3 linked regions of the Lonchura striata genome follow. The protein of the gene in region 3 interacts with the protein of the main gene of each other region in a biochemical or structural test. Links are inferred from orthologs where the notes say so. Each region holds a gene or a part of one and is shown on either strand. Other genes may lie near its edges.

Region 1 (9,343 bases), on a different chromosome or scaffold from region 3:
GACTCTATCCCAGACAAAATCAGTATAACTTCCAATAAAGCCATGTAAGAATCTGATTCTGAAGAATTTTTGACAATTTGTAAGCAGGTCTCCCTGGATCATGATCATCACTGTAGCCACACACTGCTACAAAGGTCAACAGGGCTAATGATGTATCTAAAATCAACAGGAATGGGAAAGGCTTTGCAGAATTCAACACAACTATTATGATCTCTGGGATAAAGAAAAGGCTAGACATAATATGTACCATACTTTCTATGCACTTTTCACCTCATGTATATACATTATGTGGCTTGCAGTTCCACTAAGTAGCAGACTGCTTGGGAGTTTCAGCTGGGGCGTGTCAAGGATTCTTAGTCATAAATTTCATAGATCATTTTATTTGCTCAAAATAATCTCTTGGCAAGACATCTTACTTCCCTGCCCCTAAGGCATTGTTTGTAATAAAAGTCTGAAAATAACTATACCAGGCAACTTTGTTATTCAGTCTTCTTCTTCAACATGAAATGGAATCTCTTACAGTCTGTGTACTTCCTAATGTGCTGCTGCATCAAACTGCACAGAAGCTCGTGCAGAATAAGGGAATGACTAAATTCTTTCTTTTACTGCTCAGTTGTGAAATTCATCCTTTGTCTAATCTTGTTAACTCTAGACCAAGTTCATAACACAGACTGTAATATAGATAGACTGCACTAATAGTTTTTGTGCAAATAGAAAAAAAGCAGAGCTACACATATTGCAATAACACAGAGAGGACATTGGAAATTACCAACCAGGTTTTTTATTTTATATTTCTCTGTCCCTTCTAGACATTCCATTTTAAGCAACTGGCCTTTAAGAAACTCCAGGCACACCACTTCCTAGCACAAAGTTAATCTTCCCTCTCATGAGCACATTACTGTTTATTCATCAATTCTCTTAGTTATTTTAAACACATATCTTTCAAGTTGTGTAATGACAGAACAGTCCTTTTTTAATATACAAGTTATTTGTTTTTTCTACCACATGACTACCAGCAACACCCAGCTATGTATTGCACAGATCTTTCAATGCCTTTTTTCCTGATGATTGGAAGATATTATGCAATATTAAGTAATTAACAGCATTTTTAAGAGTGTTCTACTGGATCTGGAAATAATTGATTGCTTCTGCCTAATTAAAAGAAGGAAAGAAGAGGATAAAGATTTGTACATGATATGGTATTTTGCTCAAGTGAGGTTTCATGTTGTGGCAAAATGTGTATGTTCTGTCTTGTGCATAATCAGTCCTGCCTGATTGTGTAATATGAAATTAATGGAGACAAGAGATGCTCTGAGAGGTGAACAAAAGTTAAATCTATTTTTCACTTTATCTGTGATTATGTGTGAGGAGTAAAAGCTCTGCAGCTGCCTGTTTACAACTCACAAAAACACACTGGGACACAGATTGCTAACGGATGTAAATGAACAGCTTTCTTTCACTTTAGAGGCTCAAAGGTCCCAGTATATAAATGTACAAACATGTACTTATGGTCACCTCTGCTGAATAAAACATCTAAAACGCATGTCCACAAGTATGTCCACAAGAATTCTAATGAAAACCAAGGAAACTCTACCATGTGCTTGAATTTGAATACATATTCTAATGATTCACTGACTAGAAATACTTCACTGAGGCAGAGACTAGATGCCTGTATCTACTGTTACTTTTCATCTGCTGCTTACAAAGGAAATACATGAAAAAGTCTTGTGATAGAGAATACTAGGGTCTCCCTCTTTTTCCTCTTTTTCCTTCACAGACAAAAGAAACCAACTTGGTTTTAATTTCAGGAATAGAGTTTGGGGGTATTTTTTGGCTCATGATGCAAATTCTAAATATTTCTTTAAAATAAATGCTTTCTCATTCTAGGAAAAAAAAGCCTTAAAAATTACAAATTAATTAAATTAAATTATTTAAAATTAAATTATTTTTCTGGTGAAAAATATGCTACTGGCATTACATTGGTACAAAAGTATATGCAACCCTGCCAGAAAATTTTATCACTTAGTTAATCCCTTTAAAGTATATTCTTCTCTTTAAATTGTAGTACATTTTGCAAACCCCAAAATCTGACTCCTAATAAACAAATGTGCTGTACACCCACTACAATTTAGAAGAAATTAAAACATTTCTATTTTTTAAGGTGTAAGGGCTCAGCTCAATGAATTAGCTAACCATTAATCAGACTCTGCAATTTCCCACACTTTTTTTGGTATGGGAGAAGGTCTGATTTTGATGGAAGATCTTCAAAAACAAAAAGATACCCAATCAGCCTTGTGTATGCAGGCAGACTACAGCTGTAATTAGCACACAGAATATTCCTGCAAAATAAAAGAACACCAACAAGCAAGGTATTCAAGAATATATGCACCAAAGTATTTTTTTACTCCAAATTAGACTAGACTAGAATAACTGTTGAATGAATGTAGAATGATTCTTTCACAGACATGGCACAGATATGCAAAACAGCAATGTCCTGAATTCCACCCAAGAGTGGAAGGGTTATGCCCTGCATTGAAATCCACACTCCTCCAACAGGTGTCTACCCGCCCTTGGTAGGCAATCATTAGCTTCCTTACTGTCAGGACAATAAATGTCAACAGAGGATAGCCCACAGAAAGTCATAAATTGTGCGATCCTTCTCATCTGACTTTAGTCACTGTCCTAGATTCAAGCCGGGACAGGGTTAATTTTTTACAATAGCCATAAAGTGGGGGGGGCAGGCCCTCATGTCAGAGCCCCATTGAGCCTGGCCTTATAGAGATGGAATAAAGAATTTCATCCTAGTATCTCATCTACTCTCTTTCAGTGCAAAGGCATTACCCTTTTTCCCACCCCTACACGCCCTTGTAAAAAGTTCCTCTCCAGCTCTCTTGTAGGCTCCCTTCAGGTAGTGAAAGGCCACAATAAAGTCAATCCAGAGCCTTCTACAGGCTGAACAATCCCAATTCTTTAAGCCTTTCCTTGTGGGAGAGGTGCTCCATCCCTCTACTCAACTTGGTGGCTTCCTCTGGACTAGCTCCATGTCCTTCCTGTGCTGGCCCCCCAGAGCTGGTGCAGCCCTGCAGGTGGGCTCTCAGCAGAGCAGAGCAGAGGGGCAGAATCCCCTCCCTGGCCCTGCTGCCCACGGGGCTTTGGATGCAGCCCAGGACACGTTTGGCTCTCTGGGCTGGGAGTGCCCATGGCTGGGTCATGTCCAGCCTCTACCCACAGCACCCCCAAGTCCCTCTGGGCAGGGCTGCTCCTGACCTGTTCATCCCCAGCCTGTGTTGGTACTGGGAGTTGCCTGACCTGGGTGCAGTACCCTGTACTTGGCCTTGTTTAACCTCATGAGATTTCCATCAACTGGTTCCTGAGCTTGTCCCGGTCCACATGGATGGTGTTCTATTCTTCAGGTGTGTCAACTCCACCACTCAGCTTGGTGTCATCTGCAAACTGGATGATCTTCCATCTATGTACCTGAGAAAGACATTAAATAGAACTGGTCCCAGAACCGACCCCTGAAGGACTCATGTCTATCAGGACTCTGAGCCCCCAGCCACCACCCACTGGATGTGACCATCCACCAATTCCTTATCCAGCAAACAGTTAACAGTTAAGCTGTTCTTTTTTGTACCATTATACTTACAGAAGCAAAATACTCTGTGATATGATACTGCATTCACTATGCTCTTCAGTTTTATGCTGAGAATACTGACTGCAAGAAGGGAGAAAAATTATCTCAACTAGCATAAAATGTTAAACCTGTCCAGGTTGGAGCAGTCCATGTATCTATCTTGCATGCTCTCTCTCTTGCTGATCTTTTAGGGGTTTTTTTACTGACATGGCTCTCATCATCACCATAATTTCTCTTCTCTCTCAGTTCTTTATCTTGAGATGGTTGAGGTTTTTCTTCTGTGAATCACTGTACAGTAAAAAGACCTACTTCAGATGGTATACTCTATCTTCTAAGTTAAAAAGGCAGACAATAGATTTGGCTTTGCCCTAATATACACAATTCTGCAGCTGTCTCTCATTCCTTGGGTCAAGAATTTCCCAGAGCATTTCCTAGGATAATCTGTAGTGCAGTAATTCCTCCTCATACATTAGCCAGCACAACTGTCTGATGCATTTTACACAGTTCAGAGTCCAACTCAGTCACTGCTCACTCCAGTTTTCCCTCGCCACACACGCAATTGCCTGACTAGGTCTTTCTCGTTCACTGACACTCCACTTCCCACGGGAGCACATGCCAAGCACACAAAGGCCAGGGAATGCAGAGGAATTAACCATTTTTGGAATTTGATTACCTCAAAGCTGTTTCACACGCCCAAGTCACTTTTAGTCATTCAGAATATGAAATTATGCAAGGAACCTACCTTTTAACCTTTAGATTTCCTGTTACCTGGAATTCATATTACACGGGAAATTCTTAGCTGAAGTAGTGTTAGTCATTTTATTAATTAAACAAATCTGCTATGGGAGAGTCTCAGCTGCACTACAACGATAGTAATTTCATTCCTAAGGCAAATTTGTTTGAGGGTCATCCCCACGAACATTTCTCCAGTGACAAGGAGATGTGGAAAGGAGACAGCAGGTCCTACTGCTCCAGCCTGCCGGCCTCTGTCCTCTCTGCCCCCACGGGAACCGGCTCCACCAAGGCCGGGCAAGACGGGCTAGTGAGAATTGCCCTTATTCCCCTTTTGTGAACCCAGTGTCCTGAGCGCTGTGTGTTGGAACCAGCGGGCAGGCAGAGAAAGTCTCACTAAGTGAACATTCAGTGGAGGATGCTTTCAGTAGCGCCTCGGCACAGCCGGCGGCAGCGGCGTCTGGGCGCACCGCTCCTCCAGGGGACGTGCCCCCCGCGCCCTCGCTGCGGTGCGCGCGGCCGGAGAGCGGGGCCGGGACGCCGGGCGGGCGGCGGGCGCGGCGGGCGGCGGGCGCGGGGCCAGGCGGGCTCCGGCCGGCGGAGGGAGCGCGGGCCCCGCGGGCCCGGGCGGGTCCCGCTGCCGGCGGGGAAGGCGCCGGGAGCCGGGCGGCGCGCGGGGCCGCGGGCAGCGCGGGAGGCCCCGGGGGCCCAGCGCCCCCTCGCGGCGCGGCCGGGCGCAGCGGCTCCCCCGGCCCGCGGGGCGCGCCCGCCCCCGCCCCCCGGCCCCTGCGGAAAGTTGTCCCTGGCCCCGGAGCCGCCCGGCTCCCGCCTCCCGCTTCCTGCCCCGCCGCCGCCGATTGGCCCGCCGTGCGCCCAGGAATGCGAGCCATCCCTTTATAGCCGGGCGCGGCGGCCGGCGCCCGCAGAGTCCCGGCAGCGCCGCTACCGCTGCCCGCCGCTCGCCCTCCCGCGCCGGGACGGTCGGGGCTGCCCGCGGATATTGCTCGCCGGTACCCAGAGGCCGGCGCGGACCGCCCGGATCGCTCTTGCCGGAGGTAAGTGCCGAAGCGGCTCCCGCCGCTCTCGCTGTCCCGTCCGAGGGGGGCCGGGGACACCTGCCCCGTCCCCGCTGCGCAACGTCCCGCCTGCGGGAGCCTCGCCGGCGCCGGTCGTGGGTGCGACGGCAGCGCGGTGACCTTCCTCGTGTGTGTCCCCAGGCTGGTTCAGAGACAGACCTTTGCCATGGGGCCAGCGACTGCTCTCTGCCTCCTTCTCCTCGTGCTCGGCGGCTCAGAGACCAAGCGCACTGCAGGTAAGGCCGGCTCTGCGCTGGTACCGGGGCAAGAAGAAATAACTTTGGTGCCTGTGTAGGCAGATGAAGTTGTGCTCGGTGGTAAAGAGCTCCAAAGCTCTCAATGAACAAAAACGTTTTAACCTGAGCATGAGCTAGCTGGGAACAGAAAACTTCTCTCTGGTGTGGAATTTGTGTAACCTTCAGAAGTAGGAACGCAGAGTCTCCAGAATTTGAGCATGTAGCTTGTCTACCTCTGCGCTGAGCAGAAGAAAGGAGGAACATGATGTAGGAACTGCCTGAAGAAGGAATGAGGTACTAGGCTGCCGTTTTGGTGCTATAGAGAAGCTGCTGCTGTGCTGCTGTCACTCAGCCTGGATTGTGCAAACTCACTTTGCCATGTCCCAGCATAGGAATAATGCAGATTGGGTTTTGCTGTCTATTTCTGTGCTGCTGGAGTGTAATGAGGTGCCAGAATGGCTGCTACCTTTGTGTGTCAGTCAGCGGGTACCTGGCACTCCTGTGCTGACTGGCTCCCGTACAAGAATGCACATGTACTGCTGCACAGCAGCTCCTGGTGGGACTGCTGCACCATCAGACCTAACTGTCTGTGCTCTGATGTGAGGCACTGTGCCCTGCACGATGTGCGCCAGGAGCCAAAACGTTAAGTAATCCTGGGAAACTTGCACCTACTCAGCCTCTTGTCCTTTTCTCATGATGCTTATCCTGATCTCTCTCTGCAGAATCCAGGAATGATGATAATAGCGTCTTCGATCTCTTTGAGCTCATTGGCTTCATGCGGAAAGGAGCGGGGCGCCGGGCCCCCGGGGTGTACCTGGTGAAGGGGCCAGAATCCTCCAGCCCTGCTTACCGCATTGAAGATGCCAGTCGCATCCCTGCTGTCCCTGACACAAAGTTCCAAGACTTATTAGATGCCATCCATGCTGAGAAGGGCTTCATTCTCCTGGCCACTCTCCGACAAGCCAAGAAGAGCAGAGGCACACTGCTGTCTGTGGAAAAGAATGATGGCTCTGGTCATGTCTTCAGTCTAGTATCAAATGGCAAGGCAGGCTCCCTGGACCTGAGCCTTTCTGTTGACGGCAAGCAGCAGTTAGTGTCAGTAGAGGATGTCTTGCTAGCTACAGGACATTGGAAGAATATCACCCTGTTTGTGCAGGAGGACCGAGCTCAGCTCTATGTGGGGTGTGAGAAAATGGAAAACGCTGAACTGGACATCCCCATCCAGAACATCTTCACTAGGGACCTAGCCAGCAGTGCCAGGCTCCATATTGCCAAAGGGGGAGTCAATGACAACTTCCAGGTAAGACTTTCACTTATGATTTTGCCTAGAATTTTCAGTCATCTGTTTTGAAGGTGCATTAGCTACTCAACAAGCCTACATAGCAGCAAAGACGTCTAAATCTCCTAAACTTTACTAATGGAATTTGAAGGGTGAAGCATTAGATTTGTGGGGATGGAACTTCCTGCAGCAATGAGAAGGCACTGAAGTTTCCAGACAGGTAGTTGTAGCTTCATTGCTTAGCTTCTTATATGAGATTCAGAAATCCATGGGTATTTTCCTTCCTGCCTGGAGAGTTGCCAAGTCCTTATGCTCAAGGATAAGACCGTTAGGAAGCAGGGCTGGTTTTCATTAAGGAGAATAGAGCAATGTATTTCACTTTTCCATCTGTCTGTCATGAAATTGCTCTGTAAGATCTTGCATGACCTTCAGTCTGTCCAAGTGCAAGTGGTTCTTCCCCTTGCAGTTGCTGCAAGTAGTTGTAATTCTTTCTCTGTCCACAGGGTCTGCTGCAGAATGTGCGGTTTGTGTTTGGAACAACTCTGGAAACTATCCTGCGGAACAAAGGCTGCTCCAGTTGTAAGTTTACAATCTTCTGAGTCCAATGACCTATTAAAAATAAGATTTCTCATTACTTTAGAAAGACAAGTTGAAACAGAACTCAGAAGTATGCTGACATGCAAATCCACATTGCATAAGAAATAAGATTATATTTCTGCAGGCACCCTAATGAATCTAGTGGCAGCTGTTTAGCAGGTGTTAGCCTGGAATGATAAATGCATGTCATATAAAATGCATTTACTTCACCTCTGTTTTTTTCTCTTAGCCACTAGTGCAGTCATTACTTTGGACAACCCCATCAATGGTTCCAGCCCAGCTATCCGCACTAATTACATTGGCCATAAAACAAAGGACATCCAAGCAGTCTGTGGATTTTCCTGTGATGAACTAACAAATATGTTTGTGGAACTGCAAGGGCTACGGTCCATGGTTACAACACTTCAAGACAGAGTTCGAAAAGTGGTAAGTGGTGGTCAACTTCATGGTACCTTTCATTAACTAGCACTTAGTGAATTAATTATAACCTTGCTTTTGAGAGGCTATGTAAACAGCAAAATATTTTTACTTTGACTTTTGTGAAAAAGGGTATTTCTGTATTAATCCTAAATATCTTCTTTTTGCTTCTTGCCCTCAAGACTGAAGAAAATGAAATCATTGCCAAAGTAGTCCAGATCACTCCTGGAGCATGCATTCATAATGGAGTCTTGCACAAAAATAAAGAGGAGTGGACTATTGACAGCTGCACTGAATGTACTTGCCAGGTAAGATTCCTCACATTCACAAATCACCTGAATATAAACTCATAAGGTGGAATTAATAGATAGTTCTAAACGGCAATGTTTGTTAGAAAGAGTGAATCATATACAGAACTAGGCATACTAGAGAAGCCATAGAATTACTCAGTTTATTTCATTCTACTAGATCTCTGATATAAAGGCAGGTTCCCTACCTTGTCCAAACAGCAATATTCTAGAAAATTATATGAAACACTGAAATTATATGTATCACTCTGATACAGCCATTAACAGTTTTAGTTCATTAATTTGGGGAATGCCTGTATTCTTTACATAAGTCCATCAGTAAACTAAGTCAGTATCAACACAACAAATGTATAGTACTATCAGCTTTTCTAGGTTTGCCTTCTGTCCTCACTAAACCTCTTGCTGACTTAGTAGAAAATGACATTTGGTCAAAAATTACTTGGTAAAGAGACTTATGATGTTTTCTTTATCTAGAAAATGCTTCTAGGTGTGTCCTATTAGCTTTTATAGATTATATGGAACAATGATCCCTTTTGGATTTCAGTTGTTTAATATCCCTGAATCACCTGGCAAGATATTGAAGCTTTGTGTTTCACTTCTGCTGAATGCTGTAAATACATACAAAATGTACAGTTTCAGGGTTTCTTTAACTTATTTGCTTGTTCCATTTAAGTATACCTTAGCAAAAGCATTTTGGGGTACCAGTCTACAAAAAGTGGGTTAATTAGCATGCCACTCTTTAGAAACTAAAAGTCAGGTATTTGTATATGTGCAATACAAGGCAACTCAAATTCTGTGTCTGCTTCTTTAGCTCTCTGTCTTTTGTCTTGTAGTCAGCACATGGTATTGTGACTTTTGCATTTGCCTCGTTCCTAGCAATCTGTTTACTCAATGTTAGCTGTAATTGCCTTAATCTAATAATTTGCTTGGGGAGATTAAAATAGTAATCATGAGAGCATTCTTCTGACCAAGGTGCTACCTTCAAGAAGCAAAACTACAGACTGCCCTTTAACTCTTATTGAGATTGGGGGTGGGTGTTCTTACCCTGCGTGTTTGGCTTAGAG
Region 2 (10,003 bases), on a different chromosome or scaffold from region 3:
GCCGGGCTCCTGGCTGCCGTGACGCTGACACAGAAGATCGTGGTGTGTCTCTCTGACACCACACTGATGGACATCCTCCCCAAAATCAGTCAGGAGGTGCTGCTCCCAGTGCTGGGCTTCCTCACTTCGCCAGCTGTCGGGTAAGCGCTGCAGGATCGGCGCAAAATCCGGGATTTGGGAATGGTTTTGTGGGGGCATTAATGCTGCCAGGGCTGGGGGGTGTTTCTGCTCTGATGTGCATCTCCTTGCACTGGTAGAGTGCTGAAAGCATCCTGATAACACACCAAAGGCAGGAAGCATGAGCAGAGGATGGAAAAAGGGATCTGTGGAGGGCAGGCTGGTCATGGATGTCCTCTGCAGTTTCCCCAGCGGAGCCCAGGCCCGTGTTGTCCTGTGTGTGAAGACAATCAGCCTCATTGCCTTGATCTGCCTGCGGATTGGGCAGGAGATGGTGCAGCAACACCTGAGTGACACAGTGAGGAACTTCTTTGGGGCATTCTCGCTGCTGCAGGAGCTGCAGAACCAGGTCAGTGGTGTGGGAGAGGTCTCCTTCTGCACTTCCCCAGATGTGGGAATGTGCTGGGCATACACCTATACTATACACAATACTGTGTTTGTGTGTAAGAGCATCTCATCTTGGGGTTTATCTGACCTTGCTTTTCTTGTCCAGGGGTTGACAGCAGAGTCGCTGAGCAGCTGTGAGATGCCAGTGATGGAGGTGCCCCTTTCAGATGGGAAGCTGCTGGCCCTGGATCCATCTGTGCTGGTGGAGTTACAGAAGGTGTTCAACCCCGAGATGGCCTACATCACCTACATCCCCTTCTCCTGTTTGCTGGGTATGCCTTGGCCACCAGCTCCAGGGGTCTGTGAGGGAGCTCTGTGATGTGGGCATGCTGTGCTGGGTCTGAACTCCAGGGCAATCACTGCTCACAGGGCTGCTGGGGGAAACCCACAGCTTCTAAAGCATGGCTTGGGCTGATTCTTGGGTTGGGAGCCCACTGGACTTCAGGCTGGGAGCAGATGTCGCCGACTTGGGGGATGCTGTGCCCACATCCCTGTGTATGGAGGGGGATGATGACGATGGGGACATTGCTTCCCTTGCAGCCGCATTGTCTGTGTCTCCTCAGGTGACGTTATCCGCACGGTTGTGCCCAACCACTCTCTGGTTGAGAAGCTGGCCAGCCTCCACCTGGAGAACGTGAATCCCCAGAACCTGCAGGCCGTCGGCCTGGAACAAACACCGAGTGTGGTGGGCTCAGACCAAGACCCTCGAGGAGCTGAACCCTTCTCCAACCCTCAGGAGGACACTCACTCTGGCACTTTTGGCAGTGTCCTGGTGGGGAACCGCATCCAGGTGCCCGTGGACACGCAGCGGGAGGGTCTTGGCTTGCTCCGCCTCAGCGCTGGCACCGATGGATTCGCTCCCAGCTCGTGCAGCGAGGAGAGCGCCCTGAAGCGCGACCTGCCCCGCAGCACCCACATGCTGTGTGGGAACTGGCTGGCCTACTGGCAGTACGAGATCGGGGTGAGCCAGCACGACCCCCGCTTCCACTTCCACCAGATCAAGCTGCAGAGTTTCTCAGGGCATTCCGGGGCCATCAAGTGCGTGGCGCCGCTGGGCAGCGAGGATTTCTTCCTGAGTGGCAGCAAGGACAAGACGGTGCGGCTTTGGCCGCTGTACAATTACGGGGATGGCACCAGCGAGGTGCCACCGCGCTTCACCTACGCCGAGCACAAGAAGTCTGTGTTCTACGTGAGCCAGCTGGAGGCACCGCAGCACGTGGTGAGCTGTGATGGCACCGTGCACATCTGGGACCAGTTCACAGGTAAGAAGGGAAAGGGTGAGGAACTGGAATGAACTGGTCCAGCCCTTACAGGCAGGGGTTGCGCTGAGTTTGGATGGCTCCTGTTAAAAACCAGCACGGAAGCAGAGATTTGCTGTGTGACTTGTCCTGCCATAATATCTGTCATCCTTTCACAGGCAAACTTCTGCGGACTTTTGATGAGTTAGACAGCAAAGTCCCCATCACAGCTGTGACCACCATGCCACCTCCCTATCACAGCATCTCTGTGGCCAGTGCAGACTCTGTGCTGAGGTTCATCGACCACAGGAAGCCGGGACTACAGGTAGGGATGCGGTGCTGTGACTCGCCTTCCTCCAGCCCTGTGCTTAATGATGGGATCACAGCTGGCCCAAAGCCCAGATCCCAAAGCCGGCTGTGATGGCTCCACAGAAACCAGCTTGTCCCTTAAATGCCAGCTCCCCTGAGCTTCACCCCCCAGCTGGAGTGTCTCTGTTGCAGCACGAGTTCCGCCTGGCCAGTGGCGTGAGCGCGGGGCTCATCCGCTGCCTGGCCGTGAGTCCGAGCGGCCGCAGCGTCGTGGCCGGCTTCTCCTCCGGCTTCATCGTGCTGCTGGACACCAGGACGGGGCTCATCATGCGGGGCTGGCCTGCCCACGAGGGAGACATCCTGCAGATCAAGGTGAGAGGCTCAGCTGGGATCAGGCTGGGGCCTCATTGATGCTCTGAGGCTGTGTGGAGCAATCTTCCTTCAGGGTTTGTATGCTGCATCCCTTGCAGTGTCCCCAAGAGGCTGCTCAAGCTCTCCTGCCCCATGGTTAGTGCTGCTGCCAGCTGTTCTTGGTCCAACTCCTGCTGCCAGAGTTCAGCCCTGTTGGGTTTCAATGCTTGCCAGGCAGGTCTGCAGCAGGGGCAGGGAGGAGTCATGGCTTCTGTGAAGGAGCAAATGTGTTGCTTTCTCCACGGGGCTCTGGGCTTCCCTGCGTGAGGGTTGCTCTAATGAGTAACTCTTGTCCATATTTACCCACCCCAGGGAGCAGTGTTGGGTCTCCAGTGTCCTCGACCCAAATGTGGGTTAAACAAAGTTCAGCAGTGTGGGTTGTTTACCCTCTCACTAGCTCTGCTAATAAGCAGCTCCAGGCTTCTCCTACCCTCAGCAGTATTTTCAACTGTGAGAGAGCCTCCCAGTTCCTTCCTCTGAGAAGGAAAATAGTTTGGCAGGTGATTTAGTGGAGAGGGAGACTGCATGGTAATCCCTGTACCCACTGCAGTAGTAACAGATGATGAATGAGTTGTGTTGGGTGTCAGGGTATTTTTGAGATGAGGCCCAGCCCATCTCTTGGAAGAGATTGCCAGCTACCAGAGCATCCTTTACCTTGCAGTGTCTACCCAAGGCTTTGCTCAGTACCATCAACTGCTTGGAAATAGCTCAGACTGTCCTGAGGGATTGCACTGTGACCATTGGATCACTGGCAGCCACCTGCTGCTCTCATGTGCAGCACCAGATTGTGAGTTTTTACAGAAGTGTCTGTTCACTGGCCTTTCCTCTCCTGCAGGCTGCAGAGGGCAACGTGCTGATCAGCTCCTCCTCAGATCATTCCCTGACTGTCTGGAAGGAGCTGGAGCAGAAACCTTTGCACCACTACAAATCTGCCTCTGAGCCCATCCACGCGTTCGACCTCTACGGTAACGAAGTGGTCACCGGCACCGTGGCCAACAAGATCGGGGTCTACTCCATGCTGGAGTCCTCAGCCCTGCCCACCAGCACGACCAAACTGAGCTCAGAGAACTTTCGGGGTACATTGACCAGCCTGGCAGTGCTGCCCACAAAGTGCCACCTCCTGCTGGGCTCGGACAACGGCATCATCCGGCTCCTGGCGTAGTGACCCCCGGCCTGGCAGCCTGTGGCTGTCCTGCAGTGCTGTGCTGGAGCTGGAAGCCAGCAGCGTGGCTTTTGGAGGAGGCAGAGGCAGATGTTTCTGAGCAGAGGATGCAGGGGGAGCTGTACTTGTTATGTCTCTAAGCTCTTTCTGTATCTTGAAAAAGCAAAAAAAAAAAAAAAGAAAAAGCCATAACTGAGAAACCTCCGCTGCTGCTGGGAGAGATATTGGGCGTTGTAGGTCACTGTCACCCCTGCAGAGAGGCCTGGAGCTTTCCTTACCATGTGTGCCTGATCCCCAGGGGACTGTGAGCTGCCCTTCACAGTAATAGGGACCACAGGTACCCTCCCCTCTTCAGTTAAGGGGTAAGAGGTGCCCCTTGACAAAACACAACAGTTTAGCTACTGCCACCTGCACTTCCCCTTCCCTTCCTCTCCTGAACCACTGAACAGCCCCACTGGGAGGGCAGAAGCTGGGCCTGGGAACTGCTGCCTTTGGAGCTGCATCTCCTCCTCCCGTGGCTGGTGCTCAGAGCCCAGAGGAGGTGCTCTGTGAACTTCAGGTTCTGCCAGCTGACTTCGAGCCTGCATGGGAGGAGGAGAGGCTCACCAGAGCCCTTCTGCTGCCGTGCTGGCTGCAGGGCAAGGACTGGAATGGAAGCCAGCAAAGGCACAAACCCCATCTGCCCTGCCAGTTCTGTGAGAGTGGGCTGCTGCAGAGGGGCAGACTGGGCTGGGAATGTGACTCTCTAAGGATGCCAGAACTAGATGCTTCCATTGGGATTTTGGCTTCTGGAGCAGTGGGGTAGGGCTGTTGGTTCCTACCCCAGCATCCCATGATCATATAAGGGGTGAGGAATGCCACGTGTGCTGTGCACCGGCAATTGATCCTCAATAAATCCTTCTAATCCTCTCCTTCATGCTGGTCAGGCTCCTGGGGAAGACAGGACAGCAAAAAGGTGCTCAGCGTTGTGCCCTCCTGCCCTTGTAGGGCGAGAGGCAGGAGGCAAGAATCCAGCATGGTCTCTCCTCGATTTTTCCTTTGGGACAGCACTGTCTGTTCCCACCCCAAAGGCACAGAGGGTGCTCTTTGCCCCACCAGTAGAAGCAGTTTCCTCCCTTCTATGTCAGCCCTTTTCCCACTCATCCTTCAGCCTAGCCAGAGCCAGTATCAGGGGAGTGGGAAGCTCTTACCTTGGGGCAGAGGAGGAGCCTGCTGTGGGTTGTCCTGGAAGAGGAAAGGGCTTCCATCCAGCTGCCACCTGCAGGGAGCTGGGGAGGTGAGTGTTTGGCCAGTGCTGTCCTTCCCTACCCAAGGGGAGCTCTCAGTCCCGTGTTGCCTATTAAACATTTGCAATAGATGTAAATATTTACTTCTAATATACTCTTTGAAAGAACTGCAGAGCTCTGTGTGTGTGTGTGTAAGCTCTGTGCTGGAGGGGCTGGGTGTGCTGGCTGCAGCTCTCCTGGTGCTCAGCCAAAGTGACACCTTCTCCTTCAGGCTCCTCTTGTGTTCTGGGGGAGCCCTGCATGTAGAACAGGATTCTGCTGCACAGGATTTGCTTTCCAAGGGGAAGTAGCTCCCAAATGTGGTTGGAGAGCTCAGATCTGTCTGGGGTGAGCTTGGGAACTGAGAGTTCCTGTGAGGAATGGATGAGTGGAAGATGCTGTTGGGGCTCAGTGACTCCTCTCCCACTGAGGACACGGGCAGAGGCAGGAAGGATCCACCATCACTTCTGCATACAGCACAAATCCACCCAGGGCAGCTCTGCTGGAGTTCTGCCCGTCCCCAAGGCTTTTCCTGCGTGCCCCAGCAGTGTGTGCATGCCCTGGGCACTGGGACCAGCTGCCCTGGGAGAGCTCTGGAGCGTGCTGTGCCCCAGGGGAGGGAGCAGCAGCTCTTGGCTCAGCCCAGCCTGGCCATCAGAGCCTGCCCTGGGCACCTGCCCTCTGTTAAACCAGTGCCTCACACTGGGTGCAGAGCTGGGACTCCAGGAGGGAAGAGCTGGGGGTTTCAGCAAAGAAAATTCCCAAACCAGAGAACCCTGTGGCAATAAACACCGAGCCCTGCATTTTCACTGAAGTTTATGAATAAAAGAGAATATTGCTAGCAGTGCATGAGGAGTGCATGCAGAGTGGAGCCACTTGCAAATTACTTCTGCCTGGGGGGGGGAATTTTGGATCTGGTAAACTCGGTGTTAAGGTTGTCTTGAAGGTACAGCAGCCCAAAAGTGTATCCCCATCTCCAAATGCACCACAAATTCATTCTTCTCCCCCAGACAAATGTTTACCCGGATGCTGTGGGTCAATATTTGCCTGCCAAATTCTCAAACAGGGGGTGGTGCCGAAGGTTGCTGCTGGGAGGGGGGGCTGGACAAGAGCTGTGTGTGCCCCATGCAGAGCTGCTGGGCAGGCTAAAGCAGGTGCCAGCTCCAACGTGGACGTGAACAACCTCAGGTAAGGGACAAACCAAAGGATTTGATAGAAATGAGAGTTCCTGCAACGGCCCTCTGGGAGAAAGGGGTGAATTTGGCAGAGGGTTAAAGGATGGGCAGCAGCAGGGAATAAAAGGGATATTTGGGAGTTCTATGTGACTGCAGGATTTGGGGTGAAGGAAGGGGAAGAGTGAACTGGCCTCAAGTTATCTTCTTCTCAGCCCAGCAGTTCTGGGTGAAGTAAGGAAACCTGGGGAGTGGAAAGCAGCCCCAGGAATTAAATGTGGACACCATGCAGAGGGCAGGGCTTTGGCATGGAGGCTTTATGAAAAGGAGAAGGTATTTTATTTCTGTCTGAAAGGGAAAAGTAGCTGGGTGAAGCGTTGGCCAGGGAATGGGTGGGGTTTTGCCCATGACCCTGGAAGCCCTGTCCCACACTGGAACTGGAGCACGGAGGGGGGAGAGGCGGGGTTTGCCAGCAAAGGGGGAAGATGAGTGCTGGGAAGGGGAGGACTGCCTCTTCCAGGACATAGTGCTGGGAAACTGCTCTGGCATTTCACTTTTTACGTGCAAATTCCCTCCCAGAAAGCACTTGCTGAGCACCTGCAGGTCAGTAGCCCTTCTCCCAAGAGCCTGGGGCACAGCTGAGGATGCTGTGCCTGTATCCCAGTGGTTTCCATGGGAAAGGAGCAGAAAGGCTCTTTTCTCCTTCCAGAGGCACAGTGTGTGCAGCACTGATTAGGGAAATACCATTTGCAATGCAGAGAAACCAGGGCAGCAGGGTCAGACAGGCAGGATCCGAGCTGCAGCTCCACTGTGGGCCCCTGCTCCTCTCTGATTTCCCTGCCTTGGCACCAGACCCAGGAGCTCTGTGTTGTTTCTTTGCAGCATTGTTCATCTCCCTATTGCTTTCCATGAGCTCCTGTGCCAACCTGTTTGGCCAGGTTGATAATTTTCTCCCTGTAGACCTGAATAGGCTGAGCTCACAGCTGGAAATAACTCCTCTCTCGGCTGGTCCTTCTGTTCCAGGAAAATGGGGTTCCTCTGGGGGCTGCTCTGCCTGGCTGCTCTGTACAGCCTCCCAAGGGTAAGTTGCTACTCCAGCAAAGAGCAAGGGAAGGGTGGTGGCTCCCTGAGCCAGACCATGGGGCAAATACCACCCAGAGAAGCCCTGGAAGGCAAAGAGGTTGAGGATACTGCTGGGGGCTTCACCAGCAAGGTTTCTGATCTTCTACCCAGCTAAAATAGTTGTGGATGTTCTTATTATTCACATTTCTGTAGAAGCTTTTGTTTCGGAACTTGACCTCAACTGTATTTGGTGACCATGACCTTCAGGAGTAAACAGGAGCTTTTTGAAAAGCAGGTTTTTCCTCCCCCCCCCCCCACTTTTAAATCTGGATCCCTGTCAGAACTGAGATTGCAAAACCCCACTGCTCACTCTCAAAAGGATCCATTATTTTGTGCCAGGCTGGCCTGACCCCTTTCTAAACAAATCCAGTGTTTGCAGTGTCTCCCAGCTGCTCCTCACTTCCACCTCCCCGTGTCAGACCTCGCCATCCCTGGGTCTGCATCCCAAAATCCTGCCTGTGCTGTTGCCTTGTGGGGACTGCTACAGCCAGGACTGCAGTGGGAGCAGGGAATTCACACTCTGGAAATTCAGAGAGACCTGACTTTGTTTCTTTGTTGATTTTCCCACCCCCACAGCTGGCACATGCCATTGACCAGCAGCATCTCTTCCTGGACAAAGATGGGAAGCTGAGGGTAAGCACTGACAGGTTTCACCCAAGGGGGCTGAAGTGAGGCTGTGGATTTGCAGTTTTTCCTGAGAAGGGATGAGCCCAGGCAGTGCCAGTGCCATGAGAAAGTCCATCTTTCTGCAGGCTTTACTCCCAGCTGCTGCCAACACTGTGCTCCTTCAGGCTGGGAGCTCCACCCTAAATAACTGAGCAGAGCCTGGAGTTACCATCAGTACTGGTGTGTACAGGGGCTGGCAGGTGGATGATTTAATTTCTGATTGCTAAGGAAAGGTGAGGGAAACCACCAGCTGTGATGGTGACAGGGAGAAAGACCCGTAGCTGATCCAACCCATTGAGCCTGGGATGTTTCAGATCATGCAAATGTGAGGAGAGTAGTGGCAGTGCTAAAGGCTAAAGCTTAGAAGAGTGGAAAATGAGGAAATTTGGAAAGAAGAGGGATGGAATAGAACACACAGGTCAAGAAAACACAGATGCCTGAAGGAGGAATTGAGCCAAACTGGATCAGGGCTGTGACAGCAGCAGAAGGGTCTGACCTTCTGTGTGAGTGTGAGTCAGGTGGGCACTGCTAAAATATGTGAGGGGAGGAAATGAAATCAAGGCTGAGGATGATGGATCTGTAAATGCTGAAGGCACAGGATATGTGCTGAGCTGGTGGTAGGTCTTGCCCTCAAGCTTTCCTAAGAGCTGAGTGGAGGAGGAACCACTGCCAGACCCTCACTGGGTCCATTTTCAGAGGATACAAGACCTATTTTCCATAGCCATTCCCTCAAATCATTATTCTCAGGGTTAAAGAGAAACTGAAGCAAAACCAGCACCAGAGCAGAGGATTCCAGCTCTGCCCATTTAGGTGTGCAATGAAAGCCCATGAGGGTGTCACTGTGCTCTTGCTTTCCCAGTGTTATCCTTGTTTCTCCCCAGGATGTGAAAAGTGCTGGAATTGCACAAAAGTCGGATTTGCTGGGAGCCATCCCAACCCTGCCAGAAGGAAAGATAGTAGAATTTAGTTATGACAGCTTCCAGGAGAACGATGGACCCATGTCAGCATTCCCCACCACCCACATGAGGGATGACTGGAACTCACAAGAAGAAGCTGTAGCTGGGGTTGGGAATTGTCGTGGAAAGAAATCACCTGGGAAAAATGCCTCTTCTGAAGAGGAAGGAGAGGCTGGAGATAAAAGCTGTGAGATGACTTGGAAGAAGAGCCAGAGGCTGGCAGATGGCATGATGAGATTCAGCATTGATCTCCTGAGAGAGGTGCAGCTGGAGTCCAAGAGAAGCAACGTGATCCTGTCCCCGCTCAGCATCGCCCTCGCCTTGTCTCACCTGGCTCTGGGTAATTCTGAGTGGCCAAACCACCACTCTCTGCCCTTCCCCATTTCCTCTCTCAGAGCCACGAGCAACCAGATGCAAATGAAATACAGTCCCTTCCACTTATCCTTGCTCCTGCAGCTTTAATTAGGCATGATTACAATTGAAGCTGCCCTCTGAGGCTCCGACTCTCAGATTTCTCCAGCCTCTTTTGTGAGGCACAGCGTGTTTCTAACAGAGTAACATCCCTGTTTTCCGCTCCACGGGCATGAGACCTAACAGAAATTTGATTTTTAGGAGCAGCAAATCAGACAGAGAAGCATTTGCTGGAGGTGATGCACCTGGAGGCAGTGCCCTGCCTCCACCACATGCTGGGCACCCTTCGCAGGAGGCTCACAGAGTCCACCCTCAGCCTCGGGTCACGTCTGTACCTGCAGAAAGGTGAGAGGTGGCCCAGGGGGGCTGGACTGGTGTAGGACAAACCTCCCAGTCACAGAGAGAGTGATGGCAGCACCCTGGAGACATCCATTTCCCCTATTTCCTCCTCTTGGGGAATGTCATACCATGCTGAGCAAATCTGTTTCATCATTCCTCCCCTTTGCCAGGGTTTGAGGTGAAAAAGAAGTTCCTGGAAGATTCAGAGAAATTCTATGGAGCAAAGCCCAAGACCCTTTCTGGGATCAATCAGGATGACCTCACGGCCATAAACAACTGGATAAAGGAAGCCACTCGTGGGCACATTCCCTCCTTCCTCCAGCAGCTCCCTGAAAACACAGTGATGCTCCTGCTCAATGCCATCTATTTCCACGGTGAGCTCCATAGG
Region 3 (10,096 bases):
CATTTTTCAGTCTTTGATGTGCCTAAAGAATAAGTCTTTTTATCATATTTACAGTTTAATACTAGGACTGTGTCAATATATTGTCATAGAATGTAGGAATTTGGACCATACAGCACTTTGTCATCAGCTGGGACTCTGAATCCTTGGCACACAGGTACTGTCCTTCTCATTTCATCTGTCTGGGTCTGCTTTGGTGATCTGTATGTCCTTATTCTGTCACATTTTCAAATGTAGTTCCACTAGATTTCTTTGTTTTCCTGTATCTTAACCCTGTAGACAACTAACTGCAACACTTCAGAGCTTTCTGAGTGCTAGAAAAGCTTTTTTTTTTCAAGAAGGTACCTTAAAAAAATATCAGAAGACTAATGGATACTCTGCAACTAGGGAAGGTCTTGTGGAGTTTGAAAAACAAGCTTGGAAAAATTTATTAAGATAATCCAGTTGGTGACAGCAGCTGTTTAAATTTTTACCCCACTTTCATCCACCTTCCACCCCACTGTTTGTGATGATTCATATTTCTGCATTTTCTATGCCAAAAATAGAACATGTTATGCTACAGTCTTTGGGACACACAGCACATGTAAATGGCATATCTTTCAGTAGTTTGCTTTGAATTAAAATATAACAGGAGCAAATAATAAAGCTGATCAGCAAATTTCCATTATTTCTAATACAAAATTTCAACTTGGGAGTTTACATAGGAGTCAGAAAAAAAGAACCAATCAATTTTTCTAATGTTGTCTTCAGCAAATGCAGGCAGTGGAAAATAATGACAAGGTCTTTTTGCATAGGAACATAAAAATCATTAAAGAATAGAGGAATTTTATACAAAATCTATTAAGCTAGAACTTGTATTAACATTTTTATTAACTGGTTGTAAACAAAGATGTTATAGTAGGTTATATTCACACACATAAATACACTCACACATATGCATGCCCACACACACACATGCAATTTGTAAAATATTAAACTAAAACTGAAGGTAATATTCTCACCTTGCTGACATATTGTTGAAAATCTCTGTGTCTCAAGTGTCTTGAACTGATCCTGTTCCAAACAGCCCTGAATGGAGCACTAACATCATTTTTTGCCGTACCCTTTTAACACTTACTTTAAATAAGATTAAATTGGTTCGAACATCCTTCCTTTATGCAAGTTAATGACCTAAGAATAAGCATGGAAATAAACCTATATGTAAGTGACAAGCAGAAAATGCACTTGGAAATTTCATTATACACTTTGTGTGGAAATTGGAGGTGGCTTGTCCCTCTTTTCTGAAACTGTCAGAAAAGTAAAGAACTATAAACATTCATCTTATTTCAGTGATGTTTCTAGACAGCTGATTTCATCACTAACTGGAATCATCAGTTAGCAAAACACTGCAGCATTGATCATTGTATAAAACTGCCCAAGTGTGTAGAAAAAGACCAGAATAGCACCTTGAAAATAGTAGGTATTTGCAGGGGTCTTTGGAAGCGCTTGAACAACTGTTGGGTAAAATGCAAAATTTCTCCACACAGTCTGTTGTCTGCTTTTCTAACCAGAAATGGAATGATAGTTATGCTTCTTTTCTTCATTTTCTCTTCCACATTCTGCTGCCAAATTGTCCTTACCCTCATCCAAGGATTCCCCAGTGACTCTAAACATTTTGAGCAGAGTGGTGAAAGAGTTAAGTTGCACCATTAGGTGTCAGAGGAAGGACTGATAAGAGTTCAACAACCCTCCCTCTGCATGGGCTCCAGAGCACAGCTCACAGCTGAGTCCTGTGACTTGGAACAGCAGGGACAGGAACTGCTTGCCTGCTAATCACAAGGAACTGCAGCAATGACCCGGTGTGCCCCAGTCTTTGAGGAGCCTGAATACAAAAGGATTCTCACTTTCTTACAGACTGTCCCAAGAAGAGCAGAACTAAAAAGAAAATCAGACATATGTATTGCATTTCAGGCCCTATTACGTGCTGCTTCTCTGTTTGTGTTTTGCAGCTCCACGTGTAAAGAGTGGGTAGCACTCTTTAGGCAGGGTGGTGACAGCAGTACAGCAGGAGAATAACAAAATCAAGGAAGGACAAGTTTGGGTGCAGGACATGTGCTCCCCCTGACAGAAACATGTAGCAGGCTACAGCAGATCACCATAGCATTTTTGCTGAACCACTTTCCAAAGCAGTGCTAGTGCTGGATGTTATGGGCTGGGATAATCAAGCAGGACTCAAAGCTGCACAATCCCTCTGCTGTCCGTAATTCTTTAGCTTAGCTGTGGTTTCTCTGATGTTCTCTGTCTAGGAAATGAAGAATGATTTTACTCTCTTGTCTAGCAGCAGTATGATGCAGTTGTCCCTCACGTGCAAAGACTTAGAGCACACTGTGTGCTAAGTTCTGGCTGTTAGATTCTCTATGGCTTTAATGCTCTGCACACCTCTGTTGAAGGTAAATGCACAGTCCCTGTATTTCCAGATACTTTTTCAGCAATACAGAAATTGTACTAATTAATTTTTTAGATCTTTCTGCTATAAAGGTGACACTCGGCTCACTTCTTGCTTCTCATTTGTCTGACTTTATTCTTCTGGTTTCTTACGTTTGGCAGCAGCCAGAACAAATTAATGTTTTAGAGACAGAAGCTTTCACTAGTGGAGAAACATCTTCTCTGTATCTCCTTGTTGTCATTTTCCTTACCTTAGATCCATTAGCATCTGTGGCCAGAAATGAGTTTATCTACCAGATGTTCTACCCTCTGTGTTCTTTCATGGGCAGAGCAAGTACAGAATTTATTTTTAACTTGGCTACCTTTCCTCCTCTAGAACCCCTCCCTACCTTACGTTCAGCAGCACCTGCTGTTAGAAGCCATCCACATTATCCATCTGGGGTTGCTGCCCGAAGACCCCTCTGGCTCTGTGGATCTGGGCTATATAAGTCTTACTTTTGTTACTTTTTCTGTTGGCATTTGAAAAGAAAGTAGAAGTACCTTCCTTATTTCCCAGCTGCTCATGGCTCTATGCCATGGCTTTACTATTTGGAGCAATTACATGAACTCCTTTACTTCATGTTCATCCCAGTCTTGTGGATGTGCAGTACCTTAGAGATGCCTTTTGAAATTTTCCCTTCCTTTGAAGATATTTAAAGATAATGAAATTTTTCCTTTGATTCTTTCCTCCTAGCAAGTAAGTGATATCTCAGTGTCTGTTTTCTGACGTTTCCTGATTTTGAAATCTAGAGAATTTATGTTTAAGGGAATTTATTTTTTAAAAATGTGCTCTGTGTTCTGACATTTTTTGCAATTACTTTTGGGGGGTATTTTTCTGAACTTACAGTAAACCCAATTTCAAGGGTCAACTTCTATTTAAAAAGCCTCCTACTGTTTATATTTTAACCATTGTGCTAACCAGTGTACCCTGACTCTGAAATAAGATCTGATAAACTTCCACCTATGGGTGATCCTCACAGTGATCAAATAAATGAGAACAAACACCACAAGATTAGAACTGGAGAGAGATTTAGATACTGTGTGAATCTATGAGGGGAAAGAGGAAAGAAGGAAAGACACAAAAGGATAAATCAGCAGTTTACAAGGATCCTGTCAAACATAATGCCTTGACAAGTCACATCCTTGTCACAAGACAACAGTGAGGAATGCCAGTGTGGCAGATAAAAGACACCTCTGTTTTGTCATTTTCTTGTGCAAAACATACAGAATGGCTGTTTTTGTACCAGGAGCAATTGCTAACAGTATCCTCAAGTCCAGTTTTCCAGGATCAGATTAATTTAGACAGAGATTAATAAGATTTCTTCAAATCTGCATTGAATGAAATGGCAATGAGTGTTCTTTGCTTTCTTCAGAGCACTCACACCAATGTAGGTCCATTTTAATCAGACTTGAGACAATGAGATTGAGAGAAGAATCAGAGCCAAGCCTAGAACTGGCAACAGCTAGGCATATTGTGAAGGAGTATATATAGACTTTTAACATGAGGAAAGATTGCAAAAGAGTTTGCTGACCTGATGCATGGAGATTTTCCCAAACTCTCCTAGACTTGTGGTAACAAACCTTTGGGTACCACATTTAGCTTCTTTGGTTTTGAAAACCAGTAGGAAAATCTAATCTGATTTAAATCTCTAACACATTGTGTTTATTGATGAGTTTTACAAACTCAGTTAAGACTCACAGCCTTTCAAACCTCTCCATGCAGCAGAAACAAATGCACTTACCCACTTACACAGTTTCTTTTCTTAGACTTTTACCACCAGATGTGCACCATAGCACAGTAACCCACTGACTACCTCAGTGGAAATGGGAAATACAGGAAAATGGGGAAGGTATCAAAGATGCTGGAGAGGGCAGGGCTCAGCAGAAAAGCAATTTTGCACTGGAGTAAGGAAAAGACCAACTGTGTCATAATATCTGATGGGAAGGAAGCAGAGATTGGTGAGCAGATGCTGTTTGTAGCCAGGGAGTCAGGGGTTATAGAGCAGGAGAGAGGCAAACCAGGATCTGGATCTAGAATTGAAAATGAGGTTGATCGTTAAAAATGTGGAGTTAAACCAGGCTTGAATACCTCTCAAAAGCCTACTAGCTAGTAAAGCCTACTTGGTGTTCTGCTCCTTTGTTTTACCCTTCTTTCCCAATGAGTAACTGGTCCTAATACATGATAAGCCTGATCCCACATGTGATTGCATTATATCCAACCCATTCTCCCTGACACCGTTCAAATGTTTCCCTGAGCTGAGTCCAGCTCCAATCAGCTCCTCTCCTTGGCCCATCTGCTTTGTTTCCCTGGACTAACATCAGTGATATCCCAAGCCTCTACAGATATCCCATGCTTTGCTGTTGTTCACAAGTTGCATTAAACAGATTCAAGCACAGAAAACAACCAAATAGCATGGTATTATACTATCCAACCAGAGAAAAACTGTATAGGACCACAAGCAGAATCAGCTTTAAATTTTTCACATAATCAGTAAAATATAAGTTAGTCTGGTTCTCATGCTCATGCCTCTCTCACATATTTACCCCTGCACTCCAAGCTTTATTCCAAGCCCTCAATACAGTGTAACTTTTACTTAAAGCAGGCAGGATGATGCAGAAGTGGACAGCCTCATTAGTTTTTAGAAGCAATTCATAATTCTGCAAACTTTCGGCCTCCAGTTGCAGAAGATTTAATTGCATGATCCAGCAGTGTGCATTCAAGTCTGTTCTCCCCATCCAATATTCATCCTGCTCCTTCCTCTGGTGAGTCACTAGCACATTTGATTCAGTAAGTTGTTTGGAAGCAACAGCAGAGAGTTAACATGCAAGAGAAGCCATGAAATGGTGCTGCAGTGCAACTTTTCCAAGGTAAAGACTGCTTAGGAAATGCAGAGTGAGCTGATGTTGAAATCAGGATAACACACAGATGAACAAAGTCTGACACCCTCACTGGATAAGTTTGTGCATGCAGTGTGAAGTTAAATGTCTGGTAAGGAAGAGCACTACATTGCTATCTATGATTCTTAAACCTAATGTTTGAGGTTTAGAGTGTCCTCTTAAATCTGAAGTTTAAATGAAATTAAGTCCTACTCCCAAATAGAAGAAGAAAAAGGAAAACTCTAAGGCAAGGAGACAGCAGAAACTGAATCTTTAATAAAGAAGTAAAATTAAACTATTTTACAGAGTTAATATCTGAATCTTATAAACATGCTTACCATGAGATTAAATAGAAGTTGTTCCTTATTAATCAATACAGGTATGCGTGGCTGAATTTACTATTGGGACTCTAATATCAAGAGAAATTCAGATACTGCCTGGACACATGATTTCTAGCAATATTATTCCTGTCTTTTCTCTAGTAGAGAAAGACCTAACCATTTGAGAACAAACCATATCCTGCAAAACAAGAGAGTGCCTTTGCATTTAATAGCATCCACTAGGAATGATTGAATCTGATTTGGTAATCCATCCAATTCAAGGTTGTTTGAACAGCCACACCACGGCAAGGGGGGAGCAGCATGGGAGAATGATTAACTTAATCCTCCTGCCTTGTTTGTTTGATGCTGCCTCACTCCAGTGCAAGTCAATAAAACTTTGAGCACTGGCACACACAACTTCCAGCACTCTCCAAGCTGGCCCAAAATGGGGATTAGCAAAGCTGCCTTTCTCCTTCTGTTCCTTCTCAGCTCAGGTAAGAATCTTTTGCTTTCTGCTTGCCTAGGTGAGACTGGGGCCAGACACTTGCAAGCTCTATGTGATGAAGGTAGGTCCCCAAATCTCTGTGTCACAACTCCCCTGGACAATGATGGATTTGGGGCTTGCTGGGCAGCAAGAGCTGCTGCAGAATAGAGTGAGAGCTGTCATTGCTCCTGAGTTATGTTCAGTAGAACATTGCTCCTGAGTTATGTTCACCAGAAAAGGAGCAGCCTTGGTGTCTGCATGGGCAGTTAATGGCTCCCAGCAAACGTTTCCCATGGCCAGAGACAGGGGCACCCCTGGGAAGCAGCCTGCCAAAGGCATGGCTCCCTCTGGTTTCAGCAGCCTTTAATCTGAGGTTTGGGGATTTTTTTCATATGTTATTTCCAATTACTGTGATCCTTATTCTGATTGCTTTAAAGTTTTGTTAATACTTGTGCAAAACAGAATCATACAGGAAAGGAAAGCTTGTACACACTGCAATTTCAGTCTTTTTCATAACCACATTCTTAACTGTGAATTTTTCATTCCATGTGATAGGAAGACCAAATCTGATCACTGTTACTTTCTGGAATATTTTTGGTACAGAAACATGTGTTTGTGGAAGATGCTACAAAAATTTTGGGATACGCAAGATCTGAATTGGGCTTTTTAGTTATGTTTACATGGGTTTCATACATACAGATTCTCTGTCCTGAAAACCTTAAACTCCAGTGAATTGTGAGATTCAGACCACACAGCTTCTTGCAGGCATCTATATAACCACACAGTATGTTGTTATTGTAGTAAAAAATACAGTTATAAGTGTACTAATGCATATATAAAGATACAGTAAATTAAACATGTGCAATACAATACAACAAATTTTACATGTGCAGTTTTAAAACATAAGAAAAAGTAACAGTTAGGAAAATATATGGGTATATTTTAGCTGGAAATATTAGAGACGTGCCCCAATGTAAAAAAACATCTGTTATTTAATGTTAAGAATTTTTATCTTGGTTTAAATTCTAGTTTCTAAGCTTTGTTTTCGCAAAAGAATAGCCTCTGTAATACTTTCCTCAATTAAGTAGGAATTTTATATGAGGGAGAAAAAGATACAATTTGGGCTTTTATCTGAAATACTATACTCTTGTTTGCAAATCCTTTATCAAATGGTAGCAAATATTTGCATTTTTGAATAAGATAGTAATACATCTTTCTGTGTCTGTAAAACATCATAGACATAGGGAAAATGGTAGCATGAAAATTTAATGCTTTTTTATTGTTTGCATATTTTCCTTTCTATTTTCCCCACAATAATGCCCTGCCATGTAAATACAACAGAAAAGGGGAGAAATAGTTTTATGACTGAAATAAATTATGAACCTGTCAATATTTCTAAAATCAAATGTTGTATTAATAATGACAATATTGTTGCAAAATGTCAAAACAGGACAGAATTAAGTTTGCATGGAAACTGTACCATAGTAGGAATTGTTTTTTTTTTCTTTTCTTTGTGGTGAGCATTGCAGCATCTCTATGATATTGTCTTAACCTAGTTTAATGTTTTGTCTCAAAACTCATTTCTTCTCAATGTTTTTGTTTTGAAATAACTAGTGGAAATGTCATTGGACTCTTTTTCACTTATTCTTTTGTTTTCCAGCAGCTATCATTTTCTTCCATGCATACTGTTAAAGTAACTGCCAACCCTTAGGGACAAACTCTTCCCTAGTCTAAATGCAGAAAAACCCTTGCAGTAACTTCTGTGCTTTTGCAATTGTATGTGAGGAAGTATAACTTGGCTTTTATCCGTATTTTACCAGCTTCAACTTGTAGATGCAAAATGATCTTTAAGAAAATACCCAATTTCAGGCTGAGCTATCTCTCAAGTGAAGGAATTTAATAACAGGACACGTGAGCCTGCTGAAGAGTGTTACTGAAGAGTGTTACTCAGGAAAGGGAGGGGCTGTTGCCTTTCTCAGGTCGAAAGACATCACTAAACAACTCAGTGGAGCCCCTGCTCACAGGCATGGGTCTGAGTGGGACATGGAGTGTTTTTGTCCCTCCTGCTGGCATTGGGCCATGGCTGAGACAGACAGGGGTCAGAGAAAGTGAAGAAGTTCCTCTCTGCAGCATGGCTGTTATTCCTAAGATTCCAGTCATGGTCTGGTTCATCCCCTGTCTGCCTTTTATTCAGCAATTGTGTAAGGCCAGGCACAAAAGCTGACTGAGATGTCCTGCAGTGACCAGGGGCCAGGGTGTCTGTTTGGGGTTGAAACACTACAGAACAGATAACTCCCAGGGCCAAATGTTCATCAGAAGAGTCATATGCTCCACTGATAAAGAAACTGTAAAAATCACAGGACTCGTGCAACTCCATGACCCTGCAGCTGGAAGTCATGAAAATCACTGTGCTATGCACTAATTCTGGGATTGCAGAGCTGTAACAGAAAAATACTAAATGCCAAAGTCCTTTACAAGGAGGAGTGTTCTGGAACACTTTTTGAGTTTACCATTAAAAATAGCTGTACTTTTTAGATTCCTATATATTTGACATGCAGCTGTAAACCAGAGGTTGTTAGGTGGATTTACTTACCTCTTTAATGTCTTATTTTAATTCATTGCAATGGAAGGCAACAACTGCTGTCTTGATTATTAAGTAAGTTCAGTACAGGGTTATTACAAACTGAACAACTGACAACCCCAGTGACTGAGGGTGGTTTGATTTTTTTAAGAGTAGGAGCCTTTGAAAGGAGGTGACTGATAAATCTCAAGTCATTCCATGTGGATGGATGGACAGCAATGAACAAACATTGTTTCACGTCTTTCTTGAGCACCATTTCTCTGCTTTGTCCAAAGTATGCATGGCCAATATTTACTTTCTGAAACACCTCAAATATTTTTTGCTCCTTGGCTCATCTTCTGTGCCCCCATTACCTTATCCTATAGGTTTGTGTTATCACTGTTCAAGCCATTTCTCTGTCCTGCCTTACCCTGGGTTTTCAGTGATGCTACTTTTTGCCATACCAGGAAAGCATTATATATTACCCATATTTTGTCACAATTAACCCAATTATTCCAGTAATTAAATGATGATGTCATATGACTAGGCGACAAAGAATTTAACATGGGAGTTTAAAATAAAGCAAATCATCATTCCCATTTTCATTCTTTTCTCTCTTTTTCCTCTAAGTGCAAGGAAGCATCCTAGACCACTATGTGAGAACAGAGGGAGCTTGGTTGCTCAACCCCATGAAACAAGTTTATAGAGCAAATAGTGATGAAGAATGTGCAGAGAAATGTGAAAGTGAAGAAAAGTTTCCTTGCAGGTAATTTCCACTGGTTCCCACATGTCTTTCATTGCAGGTGATGGAAAAATATGCCTTTTTTTATCCACAATCTGAACTTTCAAGGGTTTCCTTATGACTATGTGGGGGTTTGAGGTTTGCTGGGAAAACAAAAATGTGCAGAAACAGAATTCTTGTACTGCATATAGATGGACATGAAGATGAAGATGAAGATAGAAAAAATAGACAAATTAAGAAAGTTATGTTGAATTTTTATTGAAAAATGTTACGATGCACAGCTTGATGCACAGCTTGACATGCTGCAAACCAACGTGACATGATTTTATCAAGACTCTTGCACTCCTTCTGCAACAAGAAGTCATAATTAATTTCTTGGAAATCTAGGACAGCAATAATAGCATTGCTTATTTTCATTGCATTCATTATATTGCAGATAAATCAATTATTCAGAATTTTACTAGAATTTGGACTTAGGTAACTTCTATTTACTTTGAAAAAGAGACCTGAACCTTAATGACCTGAACCTTCTTTCAGCCAAGTCCTCTCCCTGCACTTGCATTACCCAGGCTCAAGGGGCTGGAAAGCATGAAGGGTGTTGATGACCCTGTATTGTTGGTCTTTGCTCAGCCTTCTGCCCCACTGGATCCTGC

What was found.
Region 1: the proteins of plasminogen (region 3) and THBS1 form a complex in vitro, tested with the Homo sapiens proteins (2 studies listed by BioGRID). The link is inferred for Lonchura striata from reciprocal best matches to the Homo sapiens genes PLG and THBS1.
Region 2: the proteins of plasminogen (region 3) and SERPINF2 form a complex in vitro, tested with the Homo sapiens proteins (2 studies listed by BioGRID, with this or other methods). The link is inferred for Lonchura striata from reciprocal best matches to the Homo sapiens genes PLG and SERPINF2.

The regions. Positions count from the first base shown.
Region 1 is NC_134608.1:32,090,518-32,099,860, forward strand, and holds the start of THBS1 (thrombospondin-1), read left to right. Parts: upstream 1-5,371; 5' UTR 5,372-5,421; intron 5,422-5,583; 5' UTR 5,584-5,608; coding exon 5,609-5,678; intron 5,679-6,400; coding exon 6,401-6,978; intron 6,979-7,460; coding exon 7,461-7,536; intron 7,537-7,783; coding exon 7,784-7,980; intron 7,981-8,153; coding exon 8,154-8,279; intron 8,280-9,343. UniProt on the Homo sapiens protein: Adhesive glycoprotein that mediates cell-to-cell and cell-to-matrix interactions.
Region 2 is NC_134622.1:6,967,542-6,977,544, forward strand, and holds the start of SERPINF2 (alpha-2-antiplasmin), read left to right. Parts: upstream 1-6,059; 5' UTR 6,060-6,137; intron 6,138-6,610; exon of another isoform or gene 6,611-6,724; intron 6,725-7,144; 5' UTR 7,145-7,148; coding exon 7,149-7,202; intron 7,203-7,819; coding exon 7,820-7,876; intron 7,877-8,790; coding exon 8,791-9,205; intron 9,206-9,477; coding exon 9,478-9,621; intron 9,622-9,785; coding exon 9,786-9,989; intron 9,990-10,003. Other genes in the region: WDR81 (WD repeat-containing protein 81), read left to right, coding at 1-140, 361-526, 671-836, 1,128-1,826, 1,982-2,127, 2,304-2,483, 3,358-3,684.
Region 3 is NC_134605.1:58,090,651-58,100,746, reverse strand, and holds the start of plasminogen, read left to right. Parts: upstream 1-6,021; 5' UTR 6,022-6,102; coding exon 6,103-6,151; intron 6,152-9,331; coding exon 9,332-9,467; intron 9,468-10,096. UniProt on the Homo sapiens protein: Plasmin dissolves the fibrin of blood clots and acts as a proteolytic factor in a variety of other processes including embryonic development, tissue remodeling, tumor invasion, and inflammation. In ovulation, weakens the walls of the Graafian follicle.